2 linked regions of the Danio rerio genome follow. The protein of the gene in region 1 interacts with the protein of each later gene in a biochemical or structural test. Links are inferred from orthologs where the notes say so. Each region holds a gene or a part of one and is shown on either strand. Other genes may lie near its edges.

Evidence for each region. The genes of interacting proteins can lie anywhere in the genome.
Region 2: the proteins of usp8 (region 1) and stam2 form a complex in vitro, tested with the Homo sapiens proteins (3 studies listed by BioGRID, with this or other methods). The link is inferred for Danio rerio from reciprocal best matches to the Homo sapiens genes USP8 and STAM2.

The regions. Positions count from the first base shown.
Region 1 is NC_133193.1:226,584-230,056, forward strand, and holds part of usp8 (ubiquitin carboxyl-terminal hydrolase 8), read left to right. Parts: coding exon 1-221; intron 222-438; coding exon 439-660; intron 661-759; coding exon 760-970; intron 971-1,513; coding exon 1,514-1,750; intron 1,751-1,950; coding exon 1,951-2,093; intron 2,094-2,176; coding exon 2,177-2,309; intron 2,310-3,473. UniProt on the Homo sapiens protein: Hydrolase that can remove conjugated ubiquitin from proteins and therefore plays an important regulatory role at the level of protein turnover by preventing degradation. Converts both 'Lys-48' an 'Lys-63'-linked ubiquitin chains.
Region 2 is NC_133184.1:39,754,440-39,759,266, forward strand, and holds the start of stam2 (signal transducing adapter molecule 2), read left to right. Parts: upstream 1-1,662; 5' UTR 1,663-1,787; coding exon 1,788-1,827; intron 1,828-4,366; coding exon 4,367-4,451; intron 4,452-4,827. Other genes in the region: hacd2 (very-long-chain (3R)-3-hydroxyacyl-CoA dehydratase 2), read right to left, coding at 1,039-1,163.

The sequences.
Region 1 (3,473 bases):
CTGTACCCTCCTGAAGTCAGCACACCGCAGACGCCAGCCAAACACACACCGCCCGCGCAGCCGGCAGCAGACACGGAGACGGAGAAGCAGCGGCAGCGGGACCGAGAGAGAGAACAGTCCAAACTCAAGCGCTCATACTCCTCTCCAGACATCAGCCAGGAGCTCAGCGCAGAGACCAGACAGAGACCCGCTGCAGTGCCCAGCATCAACAGAGAGAACAAGTATACACACTCACACACACACACACACTCACAAGATTATAATAGCATGACCTTCTGTAATGTACATCTAATAATATCAGTAAATGATTGAGATCTACATGAATAATCACATTATCGTTATTATATGATGATCACTTTATAAACAAGTGTGTTACTGTGCAGTGTTTTCTCCATGAATGTGCCGTGCTAAAAGTGTGTGTGTGTGTGTGTGTCGCAGGCCTCTAGCTGCCAGCACATATGCGAAGGTGGAGATCACGCGTCCGTCTGCAGCAAAGATCCGCAACCTGAACCCAGTGTTTGGAGGCCAGGGGCCGCTGCTGACGGGCCTCCGCAACCTGGGGAACACCTGCTACATGAACTCCATCCTGCAGTGCCTGTGCAACACCGTGGCCATGGCGGACTACTTCAACAGGAACTACTATCAGGACGACATTAACCGGTACCACATTCACCACAGCCCAACAAACACTCGCATTCACTGTCGATCTAGGGCAGAGCCAGTGTGTGTGTAATGGTTTACCTTGCGTGCTGGTTTCAGGGCGAATATCCTGGGTCATAAGGGCGAGGTGGCGGAGGAGTTCAGCGTGGTGATGAAGGCGCTGTGGTTGGGTCAGTATAAGATGATCAGCCCGCTGGACTTTAAGGGCACCATCTGTAAGATCAACAGCCGCTTCTCCAGCTACGAGCACCAGGACTCTCAGGAGCTGCTGCTCTTCCTGATGGACGGCCTGCATGAGGATCTCAACAAGGTCACACACACACACACACACACACACAGTCCTGCTGTATGTCCGTTTACAGCCAAAAAAAGGCGTCGCTTCATATTTTGTTCTCGCACTCTGATTGGTTGCTGAATAGCCAATCAGAACACTCTGATGAATGAATGTGGTCCTCTGTTAACCCAATGAGAGGAACACACCAAACACACTAGACAGACCATCATCCATTCATTTCCTTTTCGGCTTAGTCCCTTTATTTATCAGTGGTCGCCACAGCCACCAGTACTGGGAAACACCCATTACACACACACACACTTTAGTTCAATTCCCCTATTCCCTATATATGTGTTTAGACTGTGGGGGAAACCGGAGCACCCGGAGGAAACCCACGCCAACACTGGGAGAACATGCAAACTCCACACAGAAACACCAACTGACCCAGCCGAGACTCAAACCAGAGACCTTCTTGCTTTGAGGCGATTGTGCTACCCACTGCGCCACCATGATGCCTTGCCACACAATCAATTTAATGTAAACTAACCGACACACTCTCGCTCTGCTTGTCTTCATCAGGCGGACAAGCGCAGGGGCTATAAGGAGGAGGAGATCGAGCATCTGGACGACGTGAGCGCGGCGGATCTGGCCTGGTCCAAACACAAGCAGCTGAACGAGTCCATCATCGTGGCTCTGTTTCAGGGCCAGTTCAAGTCCACGGTTCAGTGCATGAGCTGCCAGCACAAATCACGCACCTTCGAGACCTTCATGTACCTGACGCTGGAGATGACGGCCAGCAGCAAGTGCTCTCTGCAGGTCACACACACACACACTCGTTTCCCTCTTTCAAAAGTTGAGCTAACTAAAATATTCTAGTTTGGAGGATGACGTTCACTGCAGCTTCATTACCCTCATCTGTAGATATTTGTTTGACTGTGATGTCAGTATTCAGTCATCAGCAAAAATCATTCTGCTGATCGTCCAGTGTGTGTGTGTGTGTGCGTGTGTGTGCACAGGACTGTCTGAAACTGTTTCATAAAGAAGAGCGTCTGACTGACGGTAACCGCTTCTACTGCCGCCACTGTAAGACCCACCGCGACGCCATCAAGAGGATGCAGATCTGGAAGCTGCCGCCCATATTACTGGTGCACCTGAAGCGGTGAGTGTCTGCTCTCTCCTCTGCTTCAGTGTGTCAGAAAACATCATGTTCACAATGTGTGTGTGTGTGTGTGTGTTTCTCAGGTTTAAATATGAGGGCCGCTGGCGGGAGAAGCTGCAGACGCTGGTGGATTTCCCTCTGGATAATCTGGACCTGTCGCAGTACGTCATCGGACCCAAAAACAACCTGAAGAAGTACAACCTGTACGCCGTGTCTGTGAGTATCAGAACTCTGGATCCACTTGAACATGAGGACTCAGATCAGTCGAGATCAGTGTTTCTGCAATCTGACTGTGTTTAGGGAAGTTCAGTGGAGTTTTCTGTTCATTTCTCCTCTGATTGCTAGCAAAAACTTGCTTGATTTAAAACATTATGCAAATGAACAGAAATTGGTTGCGCAAAAACAAAAAAACAACATCCAACACATGCTCCGCTCATCTCATGCCACGATTTCAAGGATAAAGAGTCTGTGAATGCTGCTTTGAATAGAATAAAATGATTAAAAGCACATTAAACACACATAAATTAAGCCTTTATTTAACTAAAAAGTAACACTGAACTGCTCAGCACGCTCAAGTTAAACTAAAATGCACAACACTTGTGCCCAATGAAACTAACGTGGTGTGTTCTTTTAAATCAATGTTCATGAAGTATGTGAACCGACCGCAAATGCCTCGCCATGTGTGTCACCTGCTTTTATAACATATTAGTTTATTACAATAATTAGACTTATCTTTGCCATCGGTCTTTATCACATGCAGCCACTTTTAAACACATCCTGCGGTCCATCTCTACACAAATGTTTGGATTATTGTTGAAGGTGTTTGCCAGCACAGAAGTTCCTGGCAGAGTAGCGAGTGATAAATGTGCAGGAATCAGACAAGAGGAATATAAATTTACATTGTAGAACACATATCTGATTCTTATTCTAAGTATCTAATACTCGCCCAGTTTTATTACTTTTTTATTTTATTACAATTTGTGTTTTAGGTTTGTGGCTGTGAAGTTCAATAAGAATACACACACACACACACACGCACACATGCGCATATACATACACACATACACATACATACACACACACGCACACATACACATTCATATACACACACACACACACACACACACGCACACATACACATATACATACACACACAAACACACACACGCACACATTCACATATACATACACACACACTTACATACACACATACATACACTTGAAGTCAGAATTATTCGCCCCCTTTTCACTTTTTTTTTTTAAATATTTCCCAGATGATGTTGAACATATTGAGGAAATGTTCATAGTATGTCTGATAATATTTGTTCTTCTAGAGAAAGTCTTATTTGTTAGAATAAAAGCAGTTTTTAATTGTTTAAA
Region 2 (4,827 bases), on another chromosome or scaffold:
AGTTGCCGAATTGGACATTATTATGCAACAGTTTCTGGTCAAAAAAAAACTAAAAAAAACTAAAAAAAAAAAAAAAGTGATTTTAATAAATAATTTGGATAATTTTATTAAAATTAATTATGTTTTTTCGATTTATTTAAGGCAAAACATACTCAGGAAGTAGGTTTTATGCTTCACATTCGCAATAAAAGTGCTCAAAATGTAAGGTTTATCAATATTTACATTATGCTCATGTCAAAGAAACATGAGTGATTTAGAAATAAATCGGCTGTATAAAATCATTATAATGCAACAGAATCTGGTCAAATAAAAACTAAAAGAAGTGATTTTAACAAATGATTTGGATAATTTTATTAATAGAAATCCATTATTTTTTTTTTTTTATTTAAGGCAAAGTATAGTCACAAAGTATATCCAATGCTTCACATTCGCCATGAATTTGCTAAATAAGCTTTACATTACATATGCTCATGTAAAAAACAACGATGAGTGATTTAGAAACGAATCGGCTGTCTCGAATCGAATCGATTAGTTCCTGAAACGGACATTATTGTGCAACAGTTTCTGGGTTACTAGGTCTAAGGTGCGCTTAATTCACTGCCTAGTCTAATGTCTACAAACTATACAAGGCTACATTCAAACTAACAAAGACACTAAATTCACTACAAGCCCTGTTACAACGCTGCCCAAACAAACCAGCGACTGTAAAACAAGAACAATGCATTCATGCAACAACAACCAATGCTCGCTGTCACCCATCACCAACCCTACGGCGAGTTAAATAAGCGATAATAGGCTTTACGTTACACCGCATTTGGATTGCACAGCAGACATGTGCAGAATAACTTTGTTGAAATGTTTCAGCTTTCAAATTAAACAGTGTTAAATAATACAATATAGACTCAATGGGGGAGGTGACCGCGATTCTGTCATACAGGCTGAAGAAATCCAACCATTCATTTCTGCTGTCACACACACACACACACACACACACGCTTGAAGAGAGAAGCACGGAAGCGCATTTGATTTCCACCATACCCTGCTGTCATAATCACGTTGTAAATGACCAGATATGCTGTGGCCAGTGTTCCGGGGCCCTTTTTCTTCTTGTGACCGGACTCACTGTGCGCTGTTTTGCTGGTCCCCATGGCAGGTGCCGACATGACTGAACTATCATTAGAAAGACTGGATCATCCAATGGTCCCGGTGGATAAAGGCGTGTGGCCTTGCTGACATGTAAAAAAGCTGCTTATGAATCCAGCGCCCTCTGGTGAGGACAGAGTGTAAACAATGCTTTGTTTTTTCAGTTACAGACTAGCGTCGTCTTTTTCGCAAGCATTTACATCAAATACAACTAAAATAATATGATTACAGTAATGTATGTGAATATATTGAGATTATTTAAAGTGAATTATGATGTTCTAGAAACATCTAAACTAGCCGCTAGATGGCAGTGCGAGTCTTGAAGTCAGAGCGCACTTCTGACTCAACCTATGCGCCTGTCTGAAATATAAACATATATATTTTTAAATATGCACAAGTATAATAATTTACTGGTTAAATTTTGAGTATTAATATAATTTGTGAACATGCTGCTTTAAATGTAGAATATGTTGACAGTTTCCTGGATGTATTTTCTGGCAGGCATTGCGCTCGTCTACTAAGTTTACGGAAGAGCAACTGGTGGAAGTGAACGCAATTTAATGGATGAGAGAAGGATAAATCGTCGATCTACGTAGATAATACGCTTCAGTTTTTTTCTTTGACACATAGGAAAAGGTTACAAAATGCCGTTGTTTGGTCAAAACCCGTTCGATCAGGATGTGGGTGAGTTTGGCAGTGTTGTTTTTGTCGAAGTGATGTGGTCTTGACAAGTCAGTAACTAAGGGCCGATCCAGCAGCGCTCCGTTCACTGCAAGATCCTCAAGAGCTCTGTTATTGTTTTGTTTATCGGTCATTCATAACTTATTTATCAAAATCTAACTATTAAAGCTGTCAAATGTAAAATAGATAACTGACAGTGTCTTTGGGATGTTGTTTTGAATTTCAAGAACTTTTTAGATGAACACTAAATGCTGAAATTATTCTTTTTTCCATCAAAATTTCTTTTATTTTGAATTATGTCAACACAATAAACATGACGTAGATGACAGCATAGCAGTGTGCATAAGAAAATACATTTAATAATCAAAATATAGGAATACAGGTTTTTGAATAATATTAATATTTGTAATAAGGGCAACAACAATAATAGTGACAATAAGAATAAAAAACTGAAGAATAAACGACAAAGACATACTAAAACAAATGATAATTATAAATATATACACACACACACACACACATATATATATGTACCGGTCAAGTGTTTGAGGTCAGTTTTTATTAAATTCTTCATTTTTTTAGTTAATATTGTATGTAGTTTCAAATGAAATTATTACTCCGTTCATTAATGCTTTTATTACTTTTTTCATTAATTATAAAAAAATAATAATCATAATAATTAATATTAGAGAGATTTCTCATGTGACTCTGAAGTAATGAAGCTGAAAAAGCATCTTTAAAATCACTGGAATTAATGAATAAATTAAATTATAAAGTACTTTTGAACAGTTATTTTATAGTGCAATACCATTTTACAATTGTACAGTTTGTCCTGTAATAAAGGCAAAAAATAAAGGCAGCCTTAGTGAGCAGGAGAAGCTTATTTTAATACACACACACACACACACACACACACACACACGTATATATATATATATATATATATATATATATATATATATATATATATATATATATATATATATATATATTATATTATAATTATTATTACTATTAGGCCAGCTCAAAGTAAATAATTAAAAGAATAGTAATAAACAAATAGATTAAGATATTCGAAAACATACTGATAGAAGTCTACGGCAATGAAGTAAAGTTAGTAAAAGCCCAAACAGGGAACCTTAAACAACTACACCAAAACCATAAGTTTTTTTGTTTTTGGATGTCTCCTTGATTCAAATTATATTGAAATTGTTTTTAAATTTATTTTATTGCTTGATTACTGACAAAAATATTTTTTAAATATATATTTTTGTGGCAGGGTCTTCAGTACGAAATATGAAAATTCTTTAATGCTCCAATAAGTCATATAAAAAAGTAATAATAATTTAATAATAATAATTTATTAATATTTAATAATTTAATAATAATAATAGTTGTAATAATACTTTCTTTATATGCTTTGATTTTATTATTCTGGATGTTTACGATAATATTATTTATTATTATTTAGTGTAAAATAATAAATTAATCTAGTTAAAAATAATATAATAAAACATAATTGTGTATTTTTAATAATAATTCATGCTGATTTTAAGATCAAAACGTTCATTTTTAATTAAAAAACGTTTTTATTTTATGTTTTATTTTATTTATTTATATTTATTTTTAATTTCTAGTAAGCTTAAGATTCAGGTATTTATTCTGTATGTTATATTAAAATATTGTTTCATATAATTTAGTATAAAATAATAACAAATAACTGTAATTAAAACAATGTAATTATAACAAATAATAATGTATTACTATGCTGATACTTATGATCAAAATGTCCTGTTTTAAAAGTTTCTGATTTAAAAAAAAAAACGTTTTATTTTATGTTTTATTTGATTTATTTATATTTTTTATTTCTTGTAAGCATGAATGGGTGGAAGATTAATAGGAGCTCAGTTGTCAAAAGGCGTGGAACCTAACAGCACACAATAGCATGATCTTTGGTTTTATTTTCAAAGCTTTGTCCTTTTAGAATTCAGTTTATATAAACGTGTGAAACTGTATGTTCCTTTATGGAGGAAATTAAGGCATATTATTATTGTTCATTTTATTTATTTATTCATGAATATGTACTTTTCTAGATGTTGCAATTCAAGACGTCGTTGTTACGAGTAAGAATTAGTCATAAAAATGTGCCCAGTTGCTTTGTTCTTAAAGGAGGGGGCAAATAATTTCTGCTGGTGGATTATGACAGAAACTGTTGTGCCTGTTGTGACAAGCTGTAAATGTAAAATAACAGGCAAAACAGGCTGTCACTGCTTAACGGTATGCATATCTTATTTTCAATAAACCTATCCTTCGAACTCAGGGATGCAAAACTGATAACTAAAACTAAAAGATTTTCTTTTTAAAATTGTGGTTTTTATTAGTTTTAGTTTTTTAGTGTTTTGTTAACAGCATTTATGGTAAATGAGAAGACATTTCCTCCTGCTGGTTTAGACGTTTGTCAAACACTTATCAGTTTTTTTGATATGGTTCTAGAATGACCTTGCGTTAAGAGTCTCATTTGAATGCTCATTTGTATTTTCAGAGAAAGCAACTAGTGAAACCAACACAGTGGAGGACTGGGGCCTCATTATGGATATCTGTGACCGTGTCGGGACAGCTCCAAATGGGTGAGCTGAAAAATCAACACGCAAACAATATATGAATAGTTTTTCTAAATTCTAATTTTATTACCAGGTAGTTACCTTAATGTCACTAGTATATAGGGATGCACCGATCCTGATATTTGGATCAGATATCGGTTCGATAAAGAGCCATTTGAGGAGAGCTGAGCTCCAGCGAGGGGGAGCATGAGCTGTCGCTCCTCCTCCTGTAAGCTGTTTTAATGCGTACACCAACCCCACCCCTAACCCTACCCCCAGTGACATCACTCGCAGAAGAAGTGCAAAAAAGGTGGAGCTCAAGCTTAAGCTCCCCCTCGCTGGAGCTCAGCTCTCCTCAAATGGCTCTGCAGCGAGCACCACTTGCATATTTTTGCTGGATTGG